Linked DNA regions of Macaca mulatta. The main gene of each other region encodes a partner of the protein of the gene in region 4 in a complex. Links are inferred from orthologs where the notes say so. Each region holds a gene or a part of one and is shown on either strand. Other genes may lie near its edges. The genes, in order: SF3B5, CRIPT, PPIL2, GPKOW, RBMX2, RBM48 and ARMC7.

The links.
Region 1: GPKOW (region 4) and SF3B5 share a complex: the UniProt entries of both Homo sapiens proteins name them as parts of the minor spliceosome. The link is inferred for Macaca mulatta from reciprocal best matches to the Homo sapiens genes GPKOW and SF3B5.
Region 2: GPKOW (region 4) and CRIPT share a complex: the UniProt entries of both Homo sapiens proteins name them as parts of the minor spliceosome. The link is inferred for Macaca mulatta from reciprocal best matches to the Homo sapiens genes GPKOW and CRIPT.
Region 3: GPKOW (region 4) and PPIL2 share a complex: the UniProt entries of both Homo sapiens proteins name them as parts of the minor spliceosome. The link is inferred for Macaca mulatta from reciprocal best matches to the Homo sapiens genes GPKOW and PPIL2.
Region 5: GPKOW (region 4) and RBMX2 share a complex: the UniProt entries of both Homo sapiens proteins name them as parts of the minor spliceosome. The link is inferred for Macaca mulatta from reciprocal best matches to the Homo sapiens genes GPKOW and RBMX2.
Region 6: GPKOW (region 4) and RBM48 share a complex: the UniProt entries of both Homo sapiens proteins name them as parts of the minor spliceosome. The link is inferred for Macaca mulatta from reciprocal best matches to the Homo sapiens genes GPKOW and RBM48.
Region 7: GPKOW (region 4) and ARMC7 share a complex: the UniProt entries of both Homo sapiens proteins name them as parts of the minor spliceosome. The link is inferred for Macaca mulatta from reciprocal best matches to the Homo sapiens genes GPKOW and ARMC7.

Annotation. Positions count from the first base shown.
Region 1 is NC_133409.1:49,348,244-49,350,588, reverse strand, and holds SF3B5 (splicing factor 3B subunit 5), read left to right. Parts: upstream 1-1,152; 5' UTR 1,153-1,253; coding exon 1,254-1,514; 3' UTR 1,515-1,845; downstream 1,846-2,345. UniProt on the Homo sapiens protein: Component of the 17S U2 SnRNP complex of the spliceosome, a large ribonucleoprotein complex that removes introns from transcribed pre-mRNAs.
Region 2 is NC_133418.1:78,216,525-78,220,580, forward strand, and holds the start of CRIPT (cysteine-rich PDZ-binding protein), read right to left. Parts: upstream 2,801-4,056; 5' UTR 2,723-2,800; coding exon 2,707-2,722; intron 1,240-2,706; coding exon 1,174-1,239; intron 381-1,173; coding exon 326-380; intron 1-325. UniProt on the Homo sapiens protein: As a component of the minor spliceosome, involved in the splicing of U12-type introns in pre-mRNAs. Involved in the cytoskeletal anchoring of DLG4 in excitatory synapses.
Region 3 is NC_133415.1:31,327,311-31,331,593, forward strand, and holds the start of PPIL2 (RING-type E3 ubiquitin-protein ligase PPIL2), read right to left. Parts: upstream 2,801-4,283; 5' UTR 2,710-2,800; coding exon 2,678-2,709; exon of another isoform or gene 2,635-2,677; intron 1-2,634. UniProt on the Homo sapiens protein: Has a ubiquitin-protein ligase activity acting as an E3 ubiquitin protein ligase or as an ubiquitin-ubiquitin ligase promoting elongation of ubiquitin chains on substrates.
Region 4 is NC_133426.1:49,201,149-49,204,648, forward strand, and holds part of GPKOW (G-patch domain and KOW motifs-containing protein), read right to left. Parts: intron 2,636-3,500; coding exon 2,526-2,635; intron 339-2,525; coding exon 125-338; intron 1-124. UniProt on the Homo sapiens protein: RNA-binding protein involved in pre-mRNA splicing. As a component of the minor spliceosome, involved in the splicing of U12-type introns in pre-mRNAs.
Region 5 is NC_133426.1:136,863,367-136,867,663, reverse strand, and holds the start of RBMX2 (RNA-binding motif protein, X-linked 2), read right to left. Parts: upstream 2,801-4,297; 5' UTR 2,786-2,800; coding exon 2,781-2,785; intron 2,570-2,780; coding exon 2,454-2,569; intron 1,002-2,453; coding exon 950-1,001; intron 1-949. UniProt on the Homo sapiens protein: Involved in pre-mRNA splicing as component of the activated spliceosome. As a component of the minor spliceosome, involved in the splicing of U12-type introns in pre-mRNAs.
Region 6 is NC_133408.1:126,862,844-126,866,847, reverse strand, and holds the start of RBM48 (RNA-binding protein 48), read left to right. Parts: upstream 1-1,204; 5' UTR 1,205-1,234; coding exon 1,235-1,345; intron 1,346-1,898; coding exon 1,899-2,089; intron 2,090-4,004. Other genes in the region: peroxisomal ATPase PEX1, read right to left, coding at 727-855. UniProt on the Homo sapiens protein: As a component of the minor spliceosome, involved in the splicing of U12-type introns in pre-mRNAs.
Region 7 is NC_133421.1:84,791,365-84,795,431, forward strand, and holds the start of ARMC7 (armadillo repeat-containing protein 7), read left to right. Parts: upstream 1-1,267; 5' UTR 1,268-1,340; coding exon 1,341-1,431; intron 1,432-1,514; coding exon 1,515-1,658; coding exon of another isoform or gene 1,659-1,690; exon of another isoform or gene 1,691-2,062; intron 2,063-2,363; exon of another isoform or gene 2,364-2,397; intron 2,398-4,067. UniProt on the Homo sapiens protein: As a component of the minor spliceosome, involved in the splicing of U12-type introns in pre-mRNAs.

The DNA.
Region 1 (2,345 bases), on a different chromosome or scaffold from region 4:
TGTAAATGCTATGTAAATAGTTGTTATACTGTATTGTTTAGGGAATAATAACCTTAAAAAGTCTACACTTCAGTACAGACTGACTTTTTCCCCAAATATTTTCAATCGGGTCGGTTGAATCCACAAAACCCACTGAATGGAAGGGCCAAGTAGGGTGCAGTGAGGCCTTGGAGGAAGGATATCAAAATAAGTGGCTAGAGGGGAAGGAGGAGCTTGAGGTGGAAGCCGGAATGTGTGGGAATTGGTGCTGTACTTGCTCACCAAGCACCCTGGTTAGAGCTGAAATAACTCTTTTATGCCACAGACTCCTAAAAGACATAGCTGGGACCAGAACTTGTGCCTGCCGACTTCTGGGTAATCCATCCCTGGTTGTGAAGGGATGGCTGTGCTACCATGATAGCTTTGGAAAACACGGAGAGTTTATTTTCGGGGCTGCTTGTAGTCCAGTCCTACTTGGGTTTCCCATTTCCCATCAGCCCCAAGCCACCCACGGATGCTCCCCACCTCCCAGACATCACCCTCCACTAGGTCCCCAGATCACTTTTAAAACGCGACCAGGGGCCTGGCGCAGTGGCTCACGCCTGTAATCCCAGAATTTTGGAAGACCGAGGAGGGAGGATCACGAAATCAGGAGTTCGAGATCAGCCAGGCAAAGACAGTGAAACCCCATCTCTACTAAAAATACAAAAAAAAAAAAAAAAAAAAAAATTGGCCTGGCGTGGTGGTGTGCGCCTGTAATCCCAGCTACTGGAGAGGCTGAGGCAGGAGAATCGCGTGAACCCAGGAGGCGTTAAGTTGCAGTGAATCGAGATCGCGCCATTACACTGCAGTCCCGGCAACAGTGCGAGTCTCTGTCTCAAACAACAAAACGAGACCAGGAGTTCCAGAAGACTACGAGCACGAACTCCCAAGACCACAAGTCCCAGCATGCAAGGCTCCCTGTTGGAAAAGGGCTTCCCATAGCCACCAAGTGGACCATCATGCAACGCTCTCTGACGGGGCGGGGCTCTCTACAGGGGCGACACACTTGTGGCGTCGCCTCGGCAACTCCAATTCCGTGACAGAATGTGCTTCCGCTTCCGCCTTTGAGCCCTATGAGCGAGACTTACGCTACTTAGTCGTCGTGACGCCATTCTTCTGCGACGGCGCGGGCCTGGAGCTTCCGCACGGTGGCCTCACTCCCGCGTGAAACGCCAGAGCGGCGGTTTGTTGTCTGCGTCCTCTGTCCTGGGAACTAAGGGGAAAGCGGCGAGATGACGGACCGCTACACCATCCACAGCCAGCTGGAGCACCTGCAGTCCAAGTACATCGGCACGGGCCACGCCGACACCACCAAGTGGGAGTGGCTGGTGAACCAACACCGCGACTCGTACTGCTCCTACATGGGCCACTTCGACCTTCTCAACTACTTCGCCATTGCAGAGAATGAGAGCAAAGCGCGAGTCCGCTTCAATTTGATGGAGAAGATGCTTCAGCCTTGTGGACCGCCAGCCGACAAGCCCGAGGAGAACTGAGACTCTGCCTTACCACCACTGTGCGGGGCACCTCTCCCAGTGTTCCTCAGGTTGGCCAATCCCTTCGACTATTTCTGCCTCCAAAGGACCGGCTCTCCATGGCTCCTGCGTCTGGTACTTCCGCGTACAGAAGTGCTTGCCCGGGGAATCCCGCCTGACCTGCCTTCATGTGAACCCTTTGGAATAGCACTGGGAGACCAGCAGAACTCCTGAGAACTGTGCTGGTGAAGAGGGCCTAGAGCCGGCAAGCGTTTGAGAAGAGGGCGTGGCGCTGGAATGAGATGGGATTTGGCGTCTCATTTTTGGCTAATTGATTGTCATTGGCTTTTTCCATAAAGTTTAGAAATCATTAAGTCTCTTGGTGTGAACTTCCTGTGTTAGGGTGGAGGGCTCCTGAAAGACCCGAGCGGGAAATGGGTCGGGGGAGGGAGTGCATGCCAGTGTCCATGATCAGGTACTTAAATCCACCCTGTCTACCATTATAATTAATTCCCCGACTGCCACTTCTCCCAAGAGCGTTATTTTCAGGCCCACAATGCCTTCAGTATTGAAGTTTGTAGTTATTGTATCCCATTTTCTTTTTCTCCCGTTTTAAAAGTCTTTGCAGTCTTTGCTGTCATTGTCCTCCTTAGCCTCTTTAAAATGCATCCTTTCTTTTTCTTGGGAATTTGTGGCCATGTCTCCAGAAATGACAAGCTGGCAAGTGAGTTCATCCTTTCTATATTCAACAAATATTTGTTGAGCTCTATGTGACAGGCATTTTCCCATGTTCTTGAGGCTTACATTATGCTGGTGGTGGAGAAAGGAGGTCAAACACTGTAGACGTAATAA
Region 2 (4,056 bases), on a different chromosome or scaffold from region 4:
AGGTTTGACTCCAAAGCTTACCATCTTTCCACATTTCCCTGCTGTCTCTGATTCATAGGATAATTAAGAAGGAGATAAAATACAAGTCATGTTTTCTGGTGAAACTGTAAGAGAATAACACTAATATCTTCATATATTGATACAGCCAAGGAGGAATAAGGTAAAACCAGCAGGATTGTAACAGATAGCTTGGTTCTGAGTGCTATGAACCACCTACCTTTATGTTTTATTGCAAATGGAATGATGCACATCAAATTCACTCCAGCAGACTTAATACTAAAAGAAAGGAAATTTATATGATCTGTCTATGGATGCTCTTACCCACCTTGCTTTTTTTGAAGTCAAAGCTTTATTTTCATTCAGCTTTCTCCCACCACTTTCTGTATCAGAATAAAAGATATTTTAGTGGGTTATTTCTATACATTTAACATAAAACATTAAGAAGTTCATTCTTTGACTTTCTACCAAAATAGTAGTCTGTATCTAATTTTTAAATCCTCATTTAGTAGGCTATTAAGACACTGCTTAAAAAGAAAACATTTATTAGGGAAACAGTAAAAATTTGTATAAAATACAATCATTTTATTTCTCAGACTCAAGGGAGTACTTTAGGAATGGGTCTATATTTACTCTATATAGTGTAAAATCTAGAAGCCACTACTTCAGTGTCATAGACCTTCAATATAATGAAAATGTTTATTTGTCTACGCTTTGAAAACATACTTTACTATATGTATTTAATAATAATGAAGGTAAATACTTCATTATAAAGATTTAATGATAATGAAGGTAAAATGGGTTAAAGCATTTATTTATTCAAGAATATAAAAATCAGAAGATTTAAAAAAATTTCTCCTCAGAAGAGTGGGGAAATTAAAAACAGACTCTAAATAAGCTGAATCAAATCAAATACTGTGATAATCAAATACTGTGATATTGTCACCACTTGACAATCATTTAATAATTTTGCTATCTCCTGATATTGGGAACCCATACAAGTAACTGAGAACTAAATAAAAGATATTAAATCACTTGGGGACCCAGTATTCTTTAACATTTAATAGATAAAATACTTTGAACATACAACATTTCATTGTACAAATAATGTAAAAGCTAAAATATAATTCACAGTAAGTATTTGGTTAAATTCCTATTTTCTAAAAGAAGAAATACCTGTGGTATTCCTAGCACCATCTTTCCATGTATCTGGAGTGATAACAGTACCAAGTTTCTTTTCACCTGTTAGAACAAGATAGTAAAAGGAAAATTAAAATTTACTATTTCATAAGTGCATTACATTGTGCCTAAGGCTCACAATGGTATCGACTATCAATGCTATTACCATAGGAGCCTGTTAATGCTGAGAAAGCAGCCAGTCAACTGAGACTCATATTAACTGTGGGCAATGAATGACTGACCGTCGGTAAAATTCGCAGGATAATAAGATGGCTTATAATAAGCTTTCACTGTTTGTTTATACTTTTAAAAAATCCAATAAGTCTATTTGTTCCATAAATATTTACTAAGCATCTATGATGTATAAACTATACAAAGTGCTGAGAAAAAGTGATGAATCAGACAAAATTTTAATGAGATTATAGTATACTAATTTCTTTAACAGCAATCTGTAACCTGGGTTCCCCAGGTGGATCTTAAGAGATATGTGAACAAGGTGGAGTTGTACACAAACCTTTTATATTTTCAGTTTTTTTTCCTGGCAAGAGGCTACAGTTTTCATCAGATTCTCAGAGGGATCAGAGACCGTCCCCCCAAAAAGAACCATTCAAACAAAATGTAAGCTAAAAAATAAAAGATATAATAATTGAGAACTAAAGTACTGGGAGAAATTCCAGGCAGGAAAAAATAACCCTGGCTAAGGAAATCCAAGAAAACAAAGTTTGGAGAGAAGGCAAGAGAGAGGATTTGAATATGTGGCAACAGGACTGTGAACAAAAAGGAGTAAAGAGGATGAACGCAAACTAGATAAAGGACACATTCTGAGGAAAGGCATAGAAAGCTTAGAGTACACATGGGCACAAAGAGTATTTTGTTTGGTCAAAGTGTGAAGAGGATGAGGGTCAGTGAAAATGAAGCTGGAAAAATAAGTTGGCGCCTTAGTGTGGAGGGTACTGAACGTCAGGTTCCAAATATAGAATCCCCAAATTATTCTCTGCACACTGAGAGTTTATTAAAGGATTTAAATTAGGGAAATAATAATTTGCACTTACGTTGATGTTCAATTCAAACATCTCTGGGTTTACTCTACGCCATATCCTGGCATAATGACTAATGAGAATGAATAAGGCAAAGTCCTAAGTCTTTGGTTCCAGTGTTTAACATTTGGCAGGAGTACAATACTTGTTACACGAATAAAAAGGAAAGGACAGGAATTGCCAAGAGGGAAAGGTGTCGCTGGGGTTTAACTGAACATTTTTATATGGGAGGGGAGCCGATGAGATCTGGGGCTGGGGGAAGGCAATGGAAATAGAGAGGGAGGTGCAGAACTGAGACCATTCTGAGTACAAAATACATAGGACTGTATGGTCGTTGGGGAGGTGCAAAAATGGTCAAAGGGTAGGGTAGAAAGACAGCGGCTAGAATCAGAGACCTGTGGGCGAAAAAAACAAAGAGAAGGCAAAGTTCCCGGGAGGGCTCAGTTAGATTATCCCAGCCTCCTCCTCCCGCAGAAGCAGCCCCTTAACTCACATTTTTCGCACACCATCCTTCCCCACGACAGTTCCCCTAGCCGCAACAGGAGCAGCAGGAGCCTGAAAACATCAACACTGTAACTGGGAAGTATTCCCCTTCCGGGCTACGTCAATCCACTTCCGGCTTCTAAGCCCACCGCTCCCGCCTACCCCAAACCTGGAAAGCCGCGGGAGGAATGAACGCGAGCGGCTAGGTGGGGCTGCCCCATTTGCCCGCCCCTCCCTTTCTGCGACTGGCTGTTCGGCCGTGGGTGTCCGCCCCACAACCCTGCGTCTGCGCGTGGGCCTGGGCCTCCTGTCGTACCTGATGGTGGGAGGCAGTAGTTCCCCGCTTCCCTTCCGCGGGCGGGAAAGTTAGGTAAGCCCCGCTGGACTTCCCAGGCGCTCTCGCCTCCCGGGGTGCAAGCCACCCCCGCGAATTGCCGAAGCAGCCCTGAGCCTCGGCGCCCCGGCCCGCCCGCTCTCGCCGTCAGCTCGAGCGCCACTCTTCCGGCGTGCCCTGATGGACAGACCCCCTTTCGGATCCGAGTTTTTGCCTCTGTCCCCCAGTTTTTCTTTGTCTCCAACTCCCGAGCTCTTTGATCCTGCTTCTCAGCTGGTTCCTCGCTGCCCACGCTCGCGCCGGCCTAGGGTCGGGCAGAATTCCCAGCGACCAGGGTTGGGGTGGAGCTGCCGGTGGAGGTGCGGCGATGCCCGTGAAGGCTCCTCTGGGGGCCGCTCTGAAGAGCCTTCTCTCCGCTGCGGTGCCTGGGGAGGTGGGCCGCGTCATGCCCGTGGCACCCCTGCAGGCGCCCTGGGGGCACGCCAGGGCCTAACACGGTGCTGGTTTCCCAGGAGAGTTGGTTTCCCACTTTGCCTACTTTGGTTCCTTCATTCACTCAGCAAACGGTTGAGTTTGGTAACTGCTCACTGTATTACATCCACATCTGATGGCAGCTGCGATTCCGAGGGTGGCTCAGAAAAATGGCTGAAGGGCTATCTGTTGAGAGAATGGATTCCTGATCCCCTTGCCCTCCCTCAATCAGCTTAAGAGAATCTATGGGAAAGTTTACCTTTGTCCCTTCTTGCCATCCGTTTGCTTCTTCATGCCTAGTGTATTTCCTTAGAGAGAGAGCTGTAGCGCGTGGGACCTTGGACCACCTCACCTGTTTGCCTTGTTTCCTTATCAGTAAAATATCTGCCTTTGAAAAGCACTGGGTGAATTAAATGAGAGCTATTAGGATAAGGCCCAGGTTCGCCCTTCTGCTTTTCGCACTAGCGGGCGCCCCTCCCGCGCGCGCGCCCACGTGTATGTGTGTGTGTGTGTGTGTGTATGTATAGTATTTTTTTTCTGAGATATTTCTATTTT
Region 3 (4,283 bases), on a different chromosome or scaffold from region 4:
AAAAGGATATAGTTTATTCTTTAGGCGTAGGGGTGGGTAACTTAACCAGGGAAGTTGTCTGGCATGACTATAGGTTCTATTTATAATTTGGTATCTTATTGCCACAAAGAGTCTGTTTCATCAATCTTATTTCTATTTCTTTATTTTTATTAAAAATTAGCCACCACGCTCGGCTAATTTTTTTTTTTTTTGTATTTTTAGTAGAGACGGGGTTTCACCATGTTAACCAGGATGGTCTCGATCTCCTGACCTCATGATCCACCACCTCAGCCTCCCAAAGTGCTGGGATTACAGGTGCGAGCCACCGCGCCGGGCCCCTTTATGATCTCTATTTCAACGTTAATGCCAGTCAGTTGTTGTGTCTGGGCCACAAAAGGGAGGAAGATATAACAAGGTACAGCTGACCTCCATCGCATCATGGCCAGGAACTCAGTTTTAAGGTTTTCCTGGAGTTCTCTTAGGCACAAGGGTGTCTGCTCAGCCAGTAAGGGGATTTAGGATTTTATTTTTAGCTTACAGGGAGGAGCAGGCTCAGGAGCTGAAAATCAAGAGTTCTGTTTAAGGCATATTAAATTTGAGGGCACGGTGGCTCATGCCTGTAATCCCAGCACTTTGGGAGGCAGAGGCGTGTGGATCACCCGAGGTCAGGAGTTTGATACCAGCCTGGCCAACATGGTGAAACCTGTCTCTACTAAAAATACAAAAATTAGCCGGGCATGGTGGCAGGCGCCTGTAATCTCAGCTACTGGGGAGGCGGAGGTGGGAGAATCGCTTGAATCTGGGAAGTAGAGGTTGCAGTGAGCCAAGATCGCACCATTGCACTCCAGCCTGGGCAACACAGCAAGACTCCATCTCAAAAAAAAAAAAAATTGAGGCCGGGCGCGGTGGCTCAAGCCTGTAATCCCAGCACTTTGGGAGGCCGAGACGGGCGGATCACGAGGTCAGGAGATCGAGACCACAGTGAAACCCCGTCTCTACTAAAAATACAAAAAATTAGCCGGGCGCGGTGGCGGGCGCCTGTAGTCCCAGCTACTCAGGAGGCTGAGGCAGGAGAATGGCGTGAACCCAGGAGGCGGAGCTTGCAGTGAGCCGAGATCGCGCCACTGCACTCCAGCCTGGGCAACAGCCTGAGACTCCCGTCTCAAAAAAAAAAAAAAAAAAAAAAAAAAAAAAAAAATTGAGATGTTTATCAGTCCTCCAGTGGAGATATCAAGTAAGCCACTAACTACACAAGACTGGGGAAAGCAGCTTATAGATGACTGGGAAATTATATCACTCACAGAGAATGTTTATGGAAAAGAAACCTATGAGATCTGAGAAAAGGGAGGAGGGTCCAGAAAGGAGGCTGGGAAAAGAGAGGCCGCTGAAGTCGATGGAAAACAAAGAGCACAGGAAATCTCAGATACCAAAGGAGGGCTTCAGAAGGAGGGAGTGGTTAACAGTGTGACATACTGTTGAGAACCCCAACAAAATGAGGACTGAGGCTGCCTGGCGCGGTGGCTCGCCTATAATCCCAGTACTTTGGGAGGCCAAGGCGGGCGGATCACCTGAGATCGGAGTTCGAGACCAGCCTGACCAACATGGAGAAACCCCCTTCTCTACTAAAAATACAAAATTAGCCGGGCCTGGGGGCACATGCCTGTAATCCCAGCTATTCGGGAGGCTGAAGCAGGAGAATCGCTTGAACCTGGGAAGCGGGGGTTGCGGAAAGCCGAGATCGCACCACTGCACTCCCCAGCATGGGCAACAAGAGCGAAACTCCGTCTCAAAAAAAACACGAGGACTGAGGATTGAATACTAGAGTTAGCAACAAGAAGTCGCTGGCAACCTGACAAGGGGCAGTTCTGGGATCGAAATTCTGACTTGAGTGGTTTCAAGAGACTCAGAAAACAGCATGAAGCCACGGGTCTCTAACTTGTTCTGAAATCACGGCGGCAGCAGGAGGGGAACGCGGGGCACGGGGCATAGGCGGATTTTTTTGTTTTATTTTATTTATTATTTTTGAGACAGAGTCTGGCTCTGTCGCCCAGGCTGGAGTGCAGTGACACGATCTCGGCTCACGGCAATCTCCGCCTCCCGGGTTCAAGCGATTCTCCTGCCTCAGCCTCCCGAGTAGCTAGGATTACAGGCGCCCGCCACCACGCCCCGCTAATTTTTGTGTTTTGGGTAGAGACGGGGTTTCATCATGGTGGCCAGGCTGGTCTTGAACTCCTGACCTCAGGTGATCCGCCCGCCTCAGCCTCCCAAAGTGCTGGGATTACAGGTGAGCCACCGCGCCCGGCCTGGTTTGCTTTAAATAGGAAGGCTCTGCAGCACGTGTGCAGGCTGATAGGCATGAACCAGAACACAGCCAGACGCGAAGTACGGAAGAGGGAGAGACTACAGGGGCAAAGCTCGCGAGCAGACGGGGCACGGTCCGGGCAGAACTAGAGTAAAGAAAGACCGGGCTGCGCTCGAGCCCGCAGCTGACGTCTTCGGAGCCGCGGCCCCCTGGGAGAGCGCGGCGGCCCGAGGGTCATTACCCTGACTGGAGAGACGGTGGCAGCTTCCGGGAGGAAGTGACTTTTGGGCTGGGCTCTGGGGACCAGCTGAGAGGGAAGGCGAGCGGCGAGCAGGGCGGGACAGGCGGTTTACTGAGGCAGAGCGGAGCGCCACTCCCGACTGCGACTCAACTTACATCTTGTCCTTCTGGTGCTGTCGCTTCCCCATGGCGGCGCGGCGGCGGCGGCAACTACCTAGCACGAAAAAGCAACCGCTGACCACTCAGACCATGGAGCCACGGCCGAGTTTCGTGACCACTTCCGGGTTCCGCGGCTCGCCCCGGAAACAGGCGCTTGGCGTGCTGGGAATTGTGGTTCGCTAGCGCCAGGTGCGCATGCTCGGAAGGATCGCCTGCCCAGTATGGGGTCCTAGCTAGGTGTGTTGTGTCTCGCTGGCGCCTTCTCGGGGCAGAGCTCCCTCAGCCTCGAAGCCCCATCTTCTCGAAGGGTCTCTCCCGACCGCCTCGCCTGCCCCCCTCAGCCACGGCTCAGGGCCATTCCCATACTGGGTTCTCAGGTCTTATTTTATTTTCGAGACAGGATCTCGCTCTGTCGCCCAGGTTGGAGTGCAGTGGCGCAATCACAGCTCACTACAGCCTCGACCTCCCAGGCTCAAGCGATTCTCCCACCTCAGCCTCCCGAGTAGCTACGGGCACGCGCCACCACACCCGGCTAATATGTTAATTTTTTGTAGAGACAAGCTCTTACTATTTTGCCCAGGCTGGTCTGGAGCTCTTGAGCTCAAGCAGTCCTCCCGCCTTGGCCTCCCAAAGTGCTGGGATTACAGGCCTGAGCCTCCGCGCCCGGCCAGCGCTCAGGTCTTTTTCAATGTCCTCCTAGAGCTTCAAGTCTCATGAGCCTCCACCCCATCCTTTCCCGCCTCCGTGGCCGACTCCTTCAAAGCCATGTACCACCCTCGTTCTACTCGCTCACTTCTCATTCTCTCTGCATATTCCGTCCGCACCGCCTCCAGGCCCCTTGGAGGCCCAGCAGCAGGTGGCCATCAAGCCTAGAGGTCCAAAACCCTGCCTGATCCCTTCCTTCTCTTCTGCCAGACTCTTGCCTTGGGTCAGAACAGTACCTTGGGCCCCCAACTACACTCAGGCCCGGGGTAATCTTGCCTAGGCTCCTAATTTTAAACGCCATTTATATCCCATGACTCCCAATACTAAGTCACCAGTACTCCAGGTTCCTGATCTCCACTTGGGTAGCCGCTGATCTCAAATTTAACATGTCTGGACGGACGTGGTGGCTCACACCTGTAATCCCGGCACTTGGAGAGGCTGAGGCAAGCGGATCACTTGAGGTCAGGAGTTCAAGACTAGCCTGGCCAACATTGCAAAACCCTGTCTCTACTAAAAATACAAAAATTAGCCGGGTGTGGTGGCGGGTGCCTGTAGTTCCAGCTACTCAGGAGGTTGAGGCAGTGAGAATCACTTGAACCCAGGAGGCAGAGGTTGCAGTGAGCCAAGATTGTGCCATTGTACTCCAGCCTGGGGTGACAGAACAAGACTCTGTCTCAAAGAAAAAAAAAAAACTGGAAACAAATGTCTATGAGAACACAGCTAAACGACCCCTGGTACAGCCATGCAGTGGACTATTTTGGAACTGCTTAAAGGAATGAAGTAGATATCCCAAGAAGTAAAGACATCTCAGTGTTTTATTTATGGAAAAAAGCAAGTTGCTGAGAAGAACGTGCAATGTGACTCGTACTTGGGTTAAAATTTTAATGTATGTGTGTGT
Region 4 (3,500 bases):
AGCAGACCTAAAAGACTAGGACTCCCAGCCTTTCTACCTCAAACCCAATTATTCCTCCATCTGACCCTCGGATCAACCTTCCCTACTGCCTGTTTTGGGCTCCCGGGATATCTTGGTTCCTTACCTTCCCATAGAGGCCTCGGTGAGGGCCAGAAAGAACCACCACAGCTCCTCCTGGCACCAGCCCTTGAGGCTGATCTTCCTTATCCTTCTCTTGCTCCTCATCTGGCCTTGGCATGTGGGAGGGGCCGGTGGGGGTCAAGGCCTGGGCCTCAGACAGGTTGGCACCCAGCCCTAACCCCTTGGGCCTCAGTGAGTTGACACGGGGCTTCACTACTCTGCAGGGAGAACATGGGTTTGTTGGAGAGGATGCAATAGTCTTCAACACCTTATTTACCTCCTCTCCCTGCCCAAACCCCCACCCCCACCATTGACATTTTCTTTTCTTTTCTTTTTTTTTTTTGGAGACGGAGTTTTGCTCTTGCCATCCAGGGTGGAGTACAATGGCTCAATCTCGGCTCAATGCAACCTCCGCCTCCTGGGTTCAAGCGACTCTCCTGCCTCAGCCTCCCAAGTTGCTGGGGTTTACAGGAGCATGCCACCATGCCTGGCTAATTTTGTATTTTTAGTAGAGACAGGGTTTCACCATGTTGGTCAGGCTGGTCTCGAACTCCTGACCTCAGCTGATCCGCCCTCTTTGGCCTCCCATAGTGCTAGGATTACAGGTGTGAGTCACCATGTCTGGCCCCCATCGGTATTTTCAAGGTTGCCCTTTCCGATCTCATATTAGGACTGTTTTTGACCTACAGAAACAGCAATTTCATTTGGTTCGACCTAATAACATGCTGCATATACCATCTATTACATAATATCTACAGTGAGATCAGAGGCAGATCACTGTAACCAAATATACTATTTCTACAGGGGAAATCATATGAATATTCACACCAAGCAGGAGAAACGGACTATAAAAACTCAACATGGTTGGGCACGGTGGCTCATGCCTGTAATCCCAGCACTTTGGGAGACTGAGGTTGGCAGATCACCTAAGGTCAGGAGTTCAAGACCAGCCTGGCCAACATGGGGAAACCTCATCTCTTCTAAACATACAAAAATTAACCAGGCGTGCTGGTGCATTCCTGTAATCTCAGCTACTCAGGAGGCTGAGGCAGGAGAATCACTTGAACTCAGGAGGTAGAGGTTGCAGCGAGCTGAGACTGCACCACTGCATCCCAGCCTGGGTGACAGACAGAGACTCCATCTCAAAAAAAAAAAAAAAAAAAAACTCAACGCCAATTCAGGTCATAGTTGGCTGCCAATGGGTTATGAAAAAAATGTTTGGTTTTCACAATTCTTGAGTTTGCAATTGCGAAGAAAGGGTTGTAAGTCTGCATGACAATAGCAAATGTTTAGTCTACGCTTTCTTGGGGTCAGGGCCTACTGTATGTGCTTTACGTATATAGTTTATCTTTTTTGTTTTTTTTTTTTTGAGATGGCGTGTCACTCTGTCGCCCAGGCTGGAGTGCAGTGGTGCGATTTCGGTTCACTACAAGCTCCACCTCCTGGGTTCACGCCATTCTCCTGCCTCAGCCTCCTGAGTAGCTGGGACTACAGGCGCCCGCCACCATGCCCGGCTAATTTTTTGTATTTTTTTTTTAGTAGAGATGGGCTTTCACCGTGTTAGCCAGGATGGTCTTGATCTCCAGACCTTGTGATCCACCCGCCTCAGCCTCCCAAAGTGCTGGGATTACAGGCACAAGGCACTGCGCCTGGCTCTAATTTCTTTCTTTTTTTTTTTGAGACGGAGTCTCGCTCTGTAGCCCAGGCTGGAGAGCAGTGGCCGGATCTCAGCTCACTGCAAGCTCCGCCTCCCGGGTTTACGCCATTCTCCTGCCTCAGCCTCCGGAGTAGCTGGGACTACAGGCGCCCGCCACCTTGCCCGGCTAGTTTTTTGTATTTTTTAGTAGAGACGGGGTTTCACCCTGTTAGCCAGGATGGTCTCAATCTCCTGACCTCGTGATCCGCCCTTGTCGGCCTCCCAAAGTGCTGGGATTACAGGCTTGATCCACCGCGCCCGGCCTAATTTCTTTTCTTAAAATGAATTAATCTTTTGTAGAGATGGGGCCTCCCTATGTTGCCCAGGCCAGTCTCAAACTCCTGGGGTTAAGTGATCCTCCTGCCTCAGTCTCCCAAAATGCTGGGATTACAGGCATGAGCCACTACCTGGCCTATGTGTATAATTTCATTTAACTCTCACAACAGACCTGTGAAGTCAGTACTATTACCCCCATTTTTCAGATGAAGAAATTGATGTCCCTAGAGGCAGACTTTATATAAATGGGATCCTATTAGAGTTTCAAAGGGCAAATGGGAGTTTAAAACAGTAGTGGAAGGGGCTACTGAATTAGTTAGGGCGATAATGTATCCTCCCTCCCTGCCTGGAGTGGTTCTGGTTTGGCAGTGACCCTGGGGATCTTGATTGCAGCCTGATCTGTCTGTCCCCTCGCCCCTATCCCAGAACTCACTGATTGAAGGTGCGGCCGATGCCCTCGCCAGGTTTCCAGCCCATGCCCCGCAGCATGGCCAGCCCATAGGCCTCCACGGGGACCGCCTCATAATTAGCCTCCTCTGGCACCTACAGGTTCAGGTAGAGGAAGGAGGGTCAGGCTTTGCTTACACTGGGTCCTCTGTTTGAAGTGCACTTGCTGCCACCCACTGGGAGACCTGCTACGCATCTTTTCCAATCAGCTCAAGGGTGTTTTGATTTCCTCTTTCCATCCCTCACTGTACTCCTCCATGTTCAGTCCTTCAACAAATAGAAAGCACCTAGTCTATGGCAAGTACTGTTCTAGGTACTGGGGATGAAGCTGTGAACCAAACAGACAAAAACCCCTACCCTTGCAGAGCTTCTGATCTAGTTGTGGAGACATACTATAAATAAAACCCAGAAAACATGATATGTCAGGTGGTGACGTATAGAACAAGAAAGCAGGGTAAGAAGATGCAGAGGGATGGAGAGGGAGTGCCTCTGGGTTGACATTTAAGCAGAGATCAGGAAATGATAGCAGAGGGAGCCATGAGGATATGAGAAGAAAGTGTCCCGAGCTGAAAGCACAGTTACAGCAAAGGCCCTGAGGCTGGACAAGGCTTGGTATGTGTGAGGGGTAAAAGTCACCATGACTGAAATGGAGATAGTGAGAGTAGAGAGCAGAGAAGGGTGGGGAAGAGATCAAATCAGGAGAGCTGGGCAGGAGTCAGAGGACCCTGAGCCAGGTGGGAGCCATAAGAGGGACCAGTGAGGAAATTACTCTAATAGTCCAGATGAGAGATGCTCGTGGCGGTGAGAAGTGGTCAGTTCTGGGTGTCATTTTGAAAAAAGATGAAGGATTGTGCTGGCAGAGTGTATGGGGCATGAAATAAAGAGGGGAATTGAGGATGACTCCAAGGTTTTCTTTTTTTTTTTTTTTTTTCTTGAGATGAAGTCTTGCTCTGTTGCCCAG
Region 5 (4,297 bases), about 88 Mb from region 4:
TGCTGCCCCATAAGTGGCCCAACCACTCAGCCAGGGCCCTCTGTCCATGGATGGCCCTACCATCCTGCCATAGCAATCCCTCTGCCAGTGTATGCTACCTGTGTTTGCTTGGCCAGCCCCTTTTGCCATGGTCTGCTACCTGTACATGCTGTCCAACTTCTCTGAAACAGTACTATGCTCTGAAGGCCTACAAAACCCAAATGTAGTGGTCCTTTGCACCTGTGCCAAGATCCTCTGGCCCTGTGGACTAACTGTGCTGTTTACCTCTGGGGTTGCAGGCCAGCTGCCCAGCCCCTCTCCTACTAGCTGCTACTACCAGTATGAGCCACCAACACCCTCTCCCACCAAATGCTGCTGCCAACACCTCAGCAGAATGAAGAATATACAGATCTCCTATTCATTCTTGTTCCTCGTCAGGCTGTGATTCTCAGCCTCCAGGTAGAGATTGGCTTTGCTCACTAACCTTACATTCATTGAGAATCAAAGAAAGCAAACTACAACCTTCTTTCTGTTTTTCATCCCAATTCCTCTGTGGTTTGCCCCAGTCGTATGATGCCACACAGGCAAGGACCAGAAGGGCCCTGTGACCATGGGTTACCCCTAGTTTGCAAGAGCCCAAGGAGGCGTACCAATATGGAACCTTCCTGAGGGTTCCAGTCTGTTCCAGTCTAGGCCCAGGCTGAACAAACCTCAGTGAAAAACAACAGAAATAGACTAGAATCCCCAAGATGGCCTCCCAAATTAACAAACCTCTTGGATCTCCCACAGGAGAACATTCTAGAACCATGTCCTGGGACTGATCTAGACTAGAGCAGAAGCTCCAGCCCTCCCCATGCAGGGACGCCATTCAGCCTAGAGTGAAAATAAGTGGTTTTTGTGATGCCACAAAATGCATTACAGAAAAAAGTACTCTGTCGACTCAGGAGGCAGGAAATGAAAGGGGACTTACTGTGAGAACACACAGATGATGTCCCCTTCAGTCAGTTCATAAGGAAGCCCTCCTAGAAAAGAAAACCACATTTCAGTTCCACCAACATTTACCAAGTGTTTACTACGTACCATGCACTAGGCCAGGCACTAGGGGTGCAAACAGTAAGCAACAGGCCCTGCCCTTAAAGAAATCAAGTCTGGGCTGGGCACCATGGCTCACGCCTGTAATCCCAGCACTTTGGGAGGCCAAGGCGGGTGGATCACCTGAGGTCAGGAGTTCGAGACCAGCCTGGTCAACATGGCGAAACCCCGTCTCTACTAAAACTACAAAAAAAATTAGCCGGGCGAGGTGGCGGGCACCTGTAATCCCAGCTACTCAGGAGGCTTAAGCAGGAGACTCGCTTGAACCCAGGAGGCAGAGGTTGTAGTGAGCCGAGATCACGTCACTGCACTCCAGCCTGGACAACAAGAGTGAAACTCCAACTCAAAAAAAAAAAAAAAAAAAGAAAGAAAGAAATCAAGTCTGATGCAATGACAGAAGTACATGTAAGGTGCCAGTAGAACAGGAAAAGGAGTGACTAATTTTGAGTGGAAGTCAGTGTCACCACTAACAAAAGTAAACTGATCACTCAGTCCTCCTGGCACCCAAAATCCTATGGGCAAAGCAGATAGTTTCCATCACAAACCTCTGCTTCCACAAACATGTTGAATTCATCTGCTCATTACCCACAAATTTACAGCTATGATACAAAATTAGTCTACATATGTCATGATTAACCCCACCTACACATAGACAAAGGTTATAAAGACACTGTTAAGCATTTCCTAGGGAATAATTTCCCTTCCAAATGTTTCTTTCCTCATCTGTAAGATGGGGATATTAGCAGGTAACTCGCAAGACTGTTATAAGAGTTAAATAAAACGATGCATATAAAGTGCTTAGCACAACGTTTTTACAATAACCTCTTTGAAGCATCAAACTTGTACAATTACTGGTTGTGATATAAAGTGAATACAGTAATGGTAGTGTGGCCATGGTCAGAAAGCAGGAGCTAGAGGAGCAAAGTGAATTCTGCAAGGGAAGGGGAATGGGGGAGGGCGGTGGTAGCAATATGGGGCTGTGGCTAAGACCATGAGTTCTAGAAAGCTATAGTTCTGCCTGTTGCGGTTATTAGCTATGTGACCTTAAGGAAGTCCCTTAACTTCTCTGCACCCCAATTTCCTCAGCTGTAATAACGGGTCAGGGGGTGAGAGAGAAATAACAACAGTCCCTGAACCTTAGCACAGCAAATGGCAAACAGTAACTCTCATGAGCACTGATTTGGCTGGGAAGGAAAACTAAAAATGGGGCAGAAAAAAAAAAAAAAAAAAAAAAGATGGAACACGGATTCCCGGGCAGACAGCAGATGGATATAAAGGAGGGCAATGAATGTAAGCAGGAGTGAAGGGTGAAAATGCTGAAATAGTCGGACACCGAGCAGGAGAATCTTGGGAGCACTGCGGAAGAAAGATGTGCACCTCACCCAGGAAGATCCAGGCGCTGTCCTTGTACTCGGAGTGCCAGGACACTTTATCGGCCACCCCAAGCTGGACCTCTCGTTCATTCAGCTCGTTGATCAGCTTCACCTTAGTTAAAGGACTTCACGGTGGCGGGGGGGAGGGGAGGCAGAAAAGCAGACAAGTAAATGCTAACCGGCCGAAGCTGAAGAAGAGCAAAACAAGGGGACGAGCTGTGCTAGTCCCCGCGCCTCTCCCGCCCCTCGACCCCGCAGACGCTCTACCACCCCAGCCCCGGTAGACCACCCTCAGCGGCCCGCTGCTCGTTCCTCAAAAGGAAGCTGACGCCTTACTTCATCTCCGCGGGCTCGCGCTCAGCATTCAGGAATCAGCGCCCGGGAAAGGCAGCGCCACGCATGCGCGGCCCCGGCGCCGGTGGCTCGTCGAGTCGGTGACCTCGCGCCGGAAGAGCTGGGGCGTACCGGGGCGTGGCGCCTGCGCACTAGAAGCCTTCCGCGTTCTTTGCAGTTACCTCTTGTAGAAACGGTTTTTCTCTAATTTTTCGCTTTTTCTCCTCTGTGAAATGGGGTAAAGGCACGAGCCTGGGCTGTTGCAGGACCCCCAGCTCTTGAACGATATCGGAAACTGGTTAGATTAGCTATAAATATTTGCTGAATGAACGGAATAAGCAGCCTGATGTGGCGACTTTAGTCTCAGCCCTCGCTCCCAGTCCAGAGTCCCACTTGGACCTTCGCTCCTAGTCAGTTGCTCACGCACAGACCCATCAAAGCATCCCTGTCATGGCAGAAAAGTGAAGAAGATAGGTGAAAAGGTAAATCTTCTGTTGTTCTTATCCCAATACATAGGCAACAGACCAGTGTGCCTCTATAGGCTGAATTGAATACCTACAGATTTGCATGAGAGCCGCTGCACTTACTCTTTTCCATAGGCTCTCTCCTAGTTGAGCAGGAGACAGAAATTAATATTGTTAAATTAATAGCTAGCAAGTGAGCAGATGATGTACTGTATGATACTAGAGTATGTGCTAAGCAATTTACATGTATTGTCTCTCCACCCTCACAACAACCCAATGAAGCAGATAAAATTACAATTCCTGGCCGGGCGCAGCAGCTCATGCCTGTAATCCCAGCACTTTGGGAAGCTGAGGTAGGAGGATTGCTTGAACTCAGGAGTTTGAGACCAGCCTGGGCAACATAGCAGAACCTGTCTCTAAAATAAAGGAAAAAGGGGGGGGCCAGGTGTGGTGGCTCACACCTGTCATCCCAACACTTTGGGAGGCTAAGGCAGGTGGATCACCTGAGGTCAGGAGTTCAAGACCTACCCAGCCAACATGGTGAAACTCTGTCTCCTCTAAAAATACAAAAATTAGCTAGGCATGGTGGCACACGCCTGTAATCCCAGCTACTCGGGAGGCTGGGGCAGGAGAATCACTTGAACCTGGGAGGCAAAGGTTGCAGTGAGCTGAGATCGCACCACTGCACTCCACCCTGGGCAGCAGAGCGAGACTCCTTGTTTTAAAAAAAAAAGAAAGAGAAAGTAAAAGAAATTTCCACCCTCGTTTTGTAGAGGAAGAAATGAGGCTCAAATGAATAAATTAACTAGAAAGGTACTAGAGTACCTGCACCCAGTAGGTCAGGTTGATTCAATCAGTCCTTACTGAACATCTAGATTTGTCCTGTGCAGCTAAGGTCTGTAGACAGGAGTATCAGGGTGGGTCCTCTGCCCTCAAGGAGCTAATATTATAATTAAGGGGACAAGATATATTTGCCTGATAGATTTCAACCAGAAATATCTAGAAACCAGTGGAAGAGATGATTAACATATAATATGTGATTTAACCCATATTGAC
Region 6 (4,004 bases), on a different chromosome or scaffold from region 4:
AGGATTTATGAAGATTTCAAATACGCCGTCCTTTTGCCCCCATAACCACACTCAAACTCGTGAGACCATGTGCCTCTATTTTTAATTACGAAAATAAGGACGCTGTATCTCCACCGGTGGTTAGAACTGCGAAACATCCCAACCACAACGTCCAGAAGGGCGACTGATCGCAGAGCTTCAAGTGATCTTAACTACGTTATGTGTTCCTGACACACTACAGCTGTGTTCCGAGGGTCTGGGACGCAGGGCAGAACCATTACTGTATTAAGCTTTCCCGCTCATGGGACGCGGTGCTCAGTCCCCGGGGACCGACAGGGGCTCCACCAACAACTCTGCGCCTCCCTCTCGCGGCCCGGACGGCAGCAGCGCAGGTAACTGGAAATGACTGGCAAGAAAAGCACCTTTTAAAATAACAAAAACAAACCACTTATCAGGAACTTTTCCAGCCTGGAATGAGGAATATTTATAAAAACAGTGGTAGAATATTAGGACATTTCTAGGCCCAGTTTCACCAAGTGAAAAGACCTGGGATAAGACGAGCCCAGGGCTGCACTGGACTTGCGGGATGCAGAGACTAACCAGAAGGGCCCTGCCGTCGAGGGACCCTAATCTCTGTACGCTTCGGGGGCGCCCGGGTGGCAGCCGGTGTCCCGCCGCGTCCCTGAGAGGCTTCGGCCTTGTCCGACCCCAGGCTGAAGATCAGGTGGCCCGGGGCCAGCACGTTACCTGCAGCAGGTGCAGCTGGGCCACGAGACCCCGCGGCAGGTGGAGGAAGCAGTCGCGAGCGTTGGTGAAGGCCACAGTCACTGCCGCCCCGCCTCCCCCAGCACCCGCCAGGCGATCGCTGCCCCACATCGTCCCGAAGCGTCGCTCTGGGTTTGCCCACCCTAGCGCCGCAAAGGACACGGGACCTGGCAGGCCGAGGACGTCGGAACCGGAGGAGATCGATCGGCCCCGCCCCCTGAGGCCCCGCCCCCTCTCCCCGCTGCGCGTCTCGCCGTAAGCCTGTAGTGGGGTGGGACAAGAAAGCTTCTGTCACCCACCGCGCCTCTCCGCCAAGCCGCTCGGGGGCGGCACCTCGTTCATCAAATCCTCGCACGCAGGAAACGATGGCCGACGCTGTCGATTCTTCAGCCAATCCTGACACTCCTTAACTCATCCCGCTCTCTTATTGGATAAAAGGGAGGTCAGCAGGGCGGATGTTGTCCTCCCTGCGAGGATCAAAGTAGGCAAGATGGCGTCCAGCGGTGGGGAGTTAGGGAGTTTATTTGACCACCACGTCCAGAGGGCGGTGTGCGACACGCGGGCCAAATATCGGGAGGGACGACGGCCTCGTGCTGTCAAGGTAAAGTGATTTTTGGTTTCATTCGCTCTCCTCGGTAGCTTTTTGTGAGCGCTAGCGCCATATGGCTAACCTACGGAAATAAAGGCACGACAAGGCTTCCGTCAGATCTGTCGCTCATTAGAGCTGGCGTGAAGAACCCTGGGCCAGGTACCAAAGATTCTCACGACCCTTTTGGTCAACTATTAGAACATCAACTCCACGAGAATAGGGCTTGGTTTTAGTCATTGGATCTTCAGTGTTTACAGTACTACTTGGCACAGGTAAGCGCTCAGTGAATATTCGTTGAGTGATTGTTCCCAGTGACTTCTGCCGACTCAATTTCTGGAAAAAAATGTCGACTGAAGGTAGTCTGTTATATGCCTTAGGTAGCCTCTCACATGGACTGTTACTCTTTATGCAGAGGGAATGGCAGAAATTTTATTTTGTGTTTTTTGCTGACTGGGTTGAACAGATTATTTCTTGTTTTCAAAGTTCTGTTTAAAAAAAAAAATAGAGGCAGATTCGTCCTAGGCTTATTTGCGAAATACGTTTAATAACTATGCATTTCTTTCAGGTATATACAATCAATTTGGAATCTCAGTACTTATTAATACAAGGAGTTCCTGCTGTGGGAGTCATGAAGGAATTAGTTGAGCGATTCGCTTTATATGGTGCAATTGAACAGTACAATGCGCTAGATGAATACCCAGCAGAAGACTTTACTGAAGTTTATCTTATTAAATTTATGAACTTACAAAGTGCAAGGTAAGGTGCAAGTTAAGCAATGACTCGTTTCATTTCCTCCATTCATATTTCTGTCATTTTGGCCCCAAGTTTCCCTCATTCATATCTGAATTACCCCAAAATGTAATCTAGCATATCTTCCTACAGCCTTTTTACAGGTTAACTTTACTGAAACACTGTATCCATCACATCCCATGCTTAACAATTTAATGTCCTGTAGCGTGGTAGAGTAAAAGTTGGGTTTGGCCAGGCACGGTGGCTTACGCCTGCAATCACAGCACTCTGGGAGGCCGAGGCAGGCGGATCACGAGGTGAGGAGTTTGAGACCAGCCTGGCCAACATGGTGAAACCCCGTCTCTACTAAAAATACAAAATTAGCCGGGTCTAGTGGCGCATACCTGTAATCCCAGCTACTCAGGAGGCTGAGGCAGGAGAATTGCTTGAACCCAGGAGGCAGAGGTTGCAGTGAGCCGAGATTGCGCCATTGCACTCCAGCCAGGGCAACAAGAGGGGATCTCCGCCTCAAAGAAAAAAAAAATGGGTTTGAGGGCTGGGCGCCAATAACTCACGCCTCACGCCTGTAATCAGAGTACTTTGGGAGACCGAGGCAGGCAGATCACTTGAGGTCAGGGGTTCAAGACCAGCCTGGCCAACATGATGGAAACCCCGGCTCTACTAAAAATACAAAAATTAGCTGGGTGTGGTGGTGCAGACCCGTAGTCCCAGCTACTCAGGTGGCTGAGGCATGGGAATCGCTTGAACCCGGGAGGTGGAGATTGCAGTGAGCAGAAATCACACCACTGCACTCCAGCCTGGATGACAGAGCGAGGCTCTGTCTCAAAAAAAAAAAAAAAAAACAGAAAAAATTTGGGTTTGGCGCCAGGCATGTGGCTCACACCTGTAATCCCAGCAGTTTGGGAGGTGGAGGTAGGCGGATCACCTGAGGTCAGGAGTTCAAGACCAGTCTGGCCAACATGGTGAAACCCTGACTCTACTAAATACAAAAATTAGCTGTGTTGGTGCAAGCCTTTAATCCCAGCTCCTGGGGAGGCTGAGGCACAAGGATCACTTGAACCCAGAAAGTAGAGGTTGCAGTGAGCCAAGATCATGCCATTGCACTCCAGCCTGGAAAGAGTGAGACTGTCCCAGAAAAAAAGAAAAGAAAAGAAAAAAAAGTTGAATTTGATCCCAGCACTATGGAAGGCCAAGGTGGGCAGACAGCTTGAGCCCAGGAGTTCGAGACCCGACTGGCCAACATGGCAAAACCTCACCTCTGCTAAAAATACAAAAATCAAGGTGGGCGTGGTAGTGCATTCCTGTAGTCCCAGCTACTTGGGAGGCTGAGGTGGGAGAATCAGTTGAGCCCAGGAGGTGGAGGTTGCAGTGAGTCATTTATGGACCACTGCACTCCATCTTGGGTGATGGAGTGAGACTATGTCTCAAAAGAAAAAAAAATGTTGGGTTTGGAGTAAGTTTTCCATTTCCACTGCTTACTAGCTTTGTGATCTTGGACAAGTTATTTAACCTGTTTAAGTTTTTCCTGTTCCGTAAAATCTATATGGTAAAGGGACCTATCTACTTCTTGAGGTTGTATGAGGATGAAATGAGATAATCCATATAAAGGGTTTAGCAGAGTGCCTCCTGGTCAGAATACAGTAAGCATTAGCTATTGTGGTTTCTACTGTTACTCCTTTCTGCAAATTGACTCAGTGTTTTCCGGCCTTCTATGTGACATAAACCCTCTGCTCCAAAAAGGCTGAAGTATGCAATGCCTTATCTATTTTTATGTTGATCTCTGTTCTCCTCACTAATCTGCTCTGAGACCCATCCTTCTCTGGCTGTTACAATTCATATTTTCTTTCATGTGCTATCAGTAGAAATCATAATCTACCACAAAAGCACTTGATTTTACTGGGTCATGTGTGGTTTTCTCAGG
Region 7 (4,067 bases), on a different chromosome or scaffold from region 4:
TGTTTTTTTAACACAAGTGACTCCAATTAGATTAACAACTTTTGCATTCTCAGGACACTCACAGCCTAAGCCACCTCTCTACCCCTACGTTGTCAAACGCGATGGGAGTGTAGTAAGGCCACCTCCTTCCCTGGTGCTTTGTTCCCTGTAACCACGAGTAGTAATCCATCACACACCTGCTTCCCGAGAATCCTCGAGAAGGAATCGGCCGAAGGGCTTCAGCATCCAGAAAGCCCCGAAAGCGCCACAAACAAGGCTCTTCCTCCGGCTCCCCGGTGCTGCCCCGGGCGCGCGCCATCCACCCGGCTGACAAAAAGCACCAGGACATGACCCCGTCCCCTTTGATTTCTGTCCAGAGGTGGCGGACTCACCTCGGGGCTGGGATAGAGGACGGGTCGGGGTCGCTACGCTTTTTGCAAAAGGGTCAAAAGACTGATGGGGGTGGGTAAGGAGCTGACGCCCGCGCTCTAAAGGGGCGCCCCGCCAGCCATGGGGATCCTGGAGGTGCTTCTGCCTCGACGTCCTCCCAACATGGGTGCTGCCAGACTCCGTTGCGCTCCTGAGTTGCTCCTCACGTCATTCCAGCCGCCCGACATGGGTGCCTCACTTTCGGCTTCTGGGCCACGTCGGGGCGGCGGAGGACCCGGGGGGCCGGGCGGGAGAGTGGGAAAGGTGGGGCGGGAAAGCCGAGAGAGGCCCTCACCCGCCTTCCTGTTGGCGGGGGCGGCAAGTGGGTTTCTTTCTTGCGTTCAGATTTTGCAATAATTTGCAGCTGGACATAGGATATGGGAGACAAGGCTGCTCCTCGCAGTACACCCACCCACGCCCATACCTCCCTCGGCGAAGCGTGTCGCAGCGGGTTCCAGCGCAGGCTAAAGAGCTTCCGCAGCCAGAAAACCGAAAGCGCGCCGCGCACGCGCGCCAAGGAGTTCGGCGACGGCCCCGCCCTTCGCCTGCCTCGTCCCGCCCCTTCCGCGCCTTGTAGGGTGGGGACAGCGCGGCTTCCGCCGGGAGCCTGGAACCGAGCCCGGCAGCCGGGGGCTGGGCGCCAGTACCCACTCCGCCAGCCCCAGCCCGCAGACGGTTCCCTGTCTCCCGCGCCCCAATTTCGATTTTCAGACCCAACTCCTACAGGATTCTGAGACCCCGGCCCATCTCCCCACATTCCATTTCCAGCTGCAAATTACTGCAGAGTCTGAACCCAAGAAAGAAACCCGTTTGCCGTCCCCGCGTCTTCCCTCGCCAGACAGGTGGAGAGTGGGTGAGGGTCTCGCTCGGCTTTCCCCCTGCACCTTTCCCACCCGCCCGCCCGTCCCTGGGGGTCCTCCGTCACGCCGGCCATGGCCCAGAAGCCGAAGTTGGACCCCCACGTCGGGCGTTTGGGATACCTGCAGGCGCTGGTCACGGAATTCCAGGAGACCCAGAGCCAAGGTGAGAGCCACGGTGGGACCAGGTGACAGGGTCGGCTGTGACCGCCGCCCGGACCTGGCTCCAGTGCCGCTTTCCCGTTGCAGACGCCAAGGAGCAAGTCCTCGCCAACCTCGCCAACTTCGCTTATGACCCCAGCAACTACGAGTATCTGCGGCAGCTGCAGGTCCTGGATTTATTTCTCGATTCGCTGTCGGAGGAGAACGAGACCCTGGTGGAGTTTGCTATTGGTAAGGGCTGGGCCCGTTCGCTAGATGGCTAAATGGGCCGGGGTGAGGTAAGTGAGTTACAAGTGAGTCCTTGGGGCCTGGCGTGGTGGCTCACACATGTAATCCCAGCACTTTGGGAAGCCGAGGCGGGGGGATCACCTGAGGTCAGGAGTTCGAGACCAGCCTGGCCAACATGGCAAAACCTCGTCTCTACTAAAAGTACAAAAATTAGCTGGGCATGGTGGCGAGTGCCTGTAATCCCAGCTAAGCGGGAGCAAAAATTAGCCGCACACAGTGGTGTGCACCTGTAGGCCCAGCTACTCTGGAGGCCGAAGCAGGAGGATTGCTTGAGTCCGGGAGGCAGAGGCCAAAGTGAGCTGAGACTGCGCCACTGCACTCCAGCCTGGGCGACGGAGTGAGACCATGTCTCAAAAAAAGATGTTTTAAAAAGAGCAGTTTTGTAGCCAGGCGCGGTGGCACACGCCTGTAATCCCAGCACTTTGGGAGCCCGAGGCAGGCGGATCACCTGAGATCAGGAGTTCGAGACCAGTCTGGCCAACATGATGAAACCCCGTCTCTAACTAAAAATACAAAAATTAGCCGGGCGTGGCGGGCGCCTGTAATCCCAGCTACTCGGGAGGCTGAGGCAGGAGAATCACTTGAACCCGGTAGGCAGAGGTTGCTGTGAGCCGAGATGGCGCCACTGCACCCCAGCCTGGGCAACAGCGAGACTCCGTCTCAAAAAAAAAAACAACAACAATTTCAGGTGGGTGAGGTGGCTCACACCTGTAATGTCAGCACTTTGGGCGGCCGAAGCAGGCAGATCACTTGAGTCCCGGAGTTCAAGACCGGCCTGGCAAAAGCCCATCTCTGCTAAAAAAAAAAAAAAAAAAAAAAAAATTAGTCTGGCGTGGTGTCCCAGCTACTCAGGAGGCTGAGGTGGGAGGATTGCTTGAGCCTGGAGGACGAGGCTGCAGTGAGCTGGGATTGGGCCACTGTACTCCAGCCTGGGTGACAGAACGAGAATCTGTCTTAGAAACAAAAGTAACTCATATTTAGTGTTTTCATATCAGGAGAAGCAGAGATGGCTTGCAGTCTGTAACTTACGGCTTCTTTTGTAGTTATGATCTTAAGACCTATTGATTTATTCACTGGGCAGATATTTACTGGGCATGTACCGTATATGTAAACTACTGCTCTAAATGCTGGAGTATGGTGAACAAGTTAGGGGAAGTGTTTGCCCCTCAGGAGCTTACATTCTAGTAGGGGGGACAGGTGGTTAGCAAACAAAAAAGATGATGCTCAGCAGCAAATAAATGGGGTGATGAGAAACAGCAGTAGAAGGTGGTGGTTACTTCTGTTTTGGCCATCATGAGAAAGGCATTTTAGCAGGGACACAGCATGGGCAAAGGCCTTAAAACAGGAAGGAGCCAGAAGGAAGATGAATGTGGCAGGATCGTTATAGTGAAGTGGAGAATGGCACAAAAAGAGGATAGAGAGTTAAGCAGCACCAGAGCTTGCCGGAGCTTAGATCTAGGCCGTGGGAAATAGTTTGAAGCAGACAAAATTTTGAGAACAAACAAAAATCCCTTTTTCAAGCCATGCACAGTGCTCATCTGTAGCCCCAGATAGGAGGATCGCTTGAGCCCAGGAGTTTGAGGCTGTAGTGTGCTACGATTGCATGATTGCACCTGTAAATAGCCACCGCACTCCAGCCTGGGCAACACGCGCGTGATCACCTGGCTGAAGTCTTGTCAGGCTTCTCCACTGTAAAATTACTCTTTCTTTCCCCTCTTTACGTATTATGTATTATACCCATTGGAAGGAAGTCACTACATAAATTATCTTAAATCTTTTTCTTTTTTTTGAGATAGGGTCTCACTGTGTCACTTAGGCTGGAGTACAGTGGTGTGATCATAGTTCACCATAAATTTAAACTTCTGGGCTCTAGCAGTCTTCCTGCCTTAGCCTCCCGAGTAGCTGTGACTACAGGTGGACACCACCATGCCCGGCTTTTTTTTGTTTTTAATTTGTTTTCGAGAGGATCTCACTGTGTTGCCCAGACTGGTCTCGAACTCGGCTTTTTTTTTTTTTTTTTTTAATTTGTTGTCGACACACGGTCTCACCGTCTTGCCCAGACTGGTCTTGAACTCCTGGCCCCAAGAGATAAATCGCTTGTAACCCTAAACAGACCCTCATTTCATAACACTGATTCTTGAAGGCCCCAACCAGGAATGCAAATGTTCCCCCTTCCGGTTTGTCTCATTGCCTCTTTGTGGTTTGTTTCTTTATCCCCTTTATTTCCTATAATCTAGAAATTGGGTTGAAAGTCTTGATAGGATCAAGTAACACATTTTATTTTATTTTATTTTATTTATTTATTTATTTATTTATTTTTTGAGACGGAGTTCGCTCTGTCGCCCAGGCTGG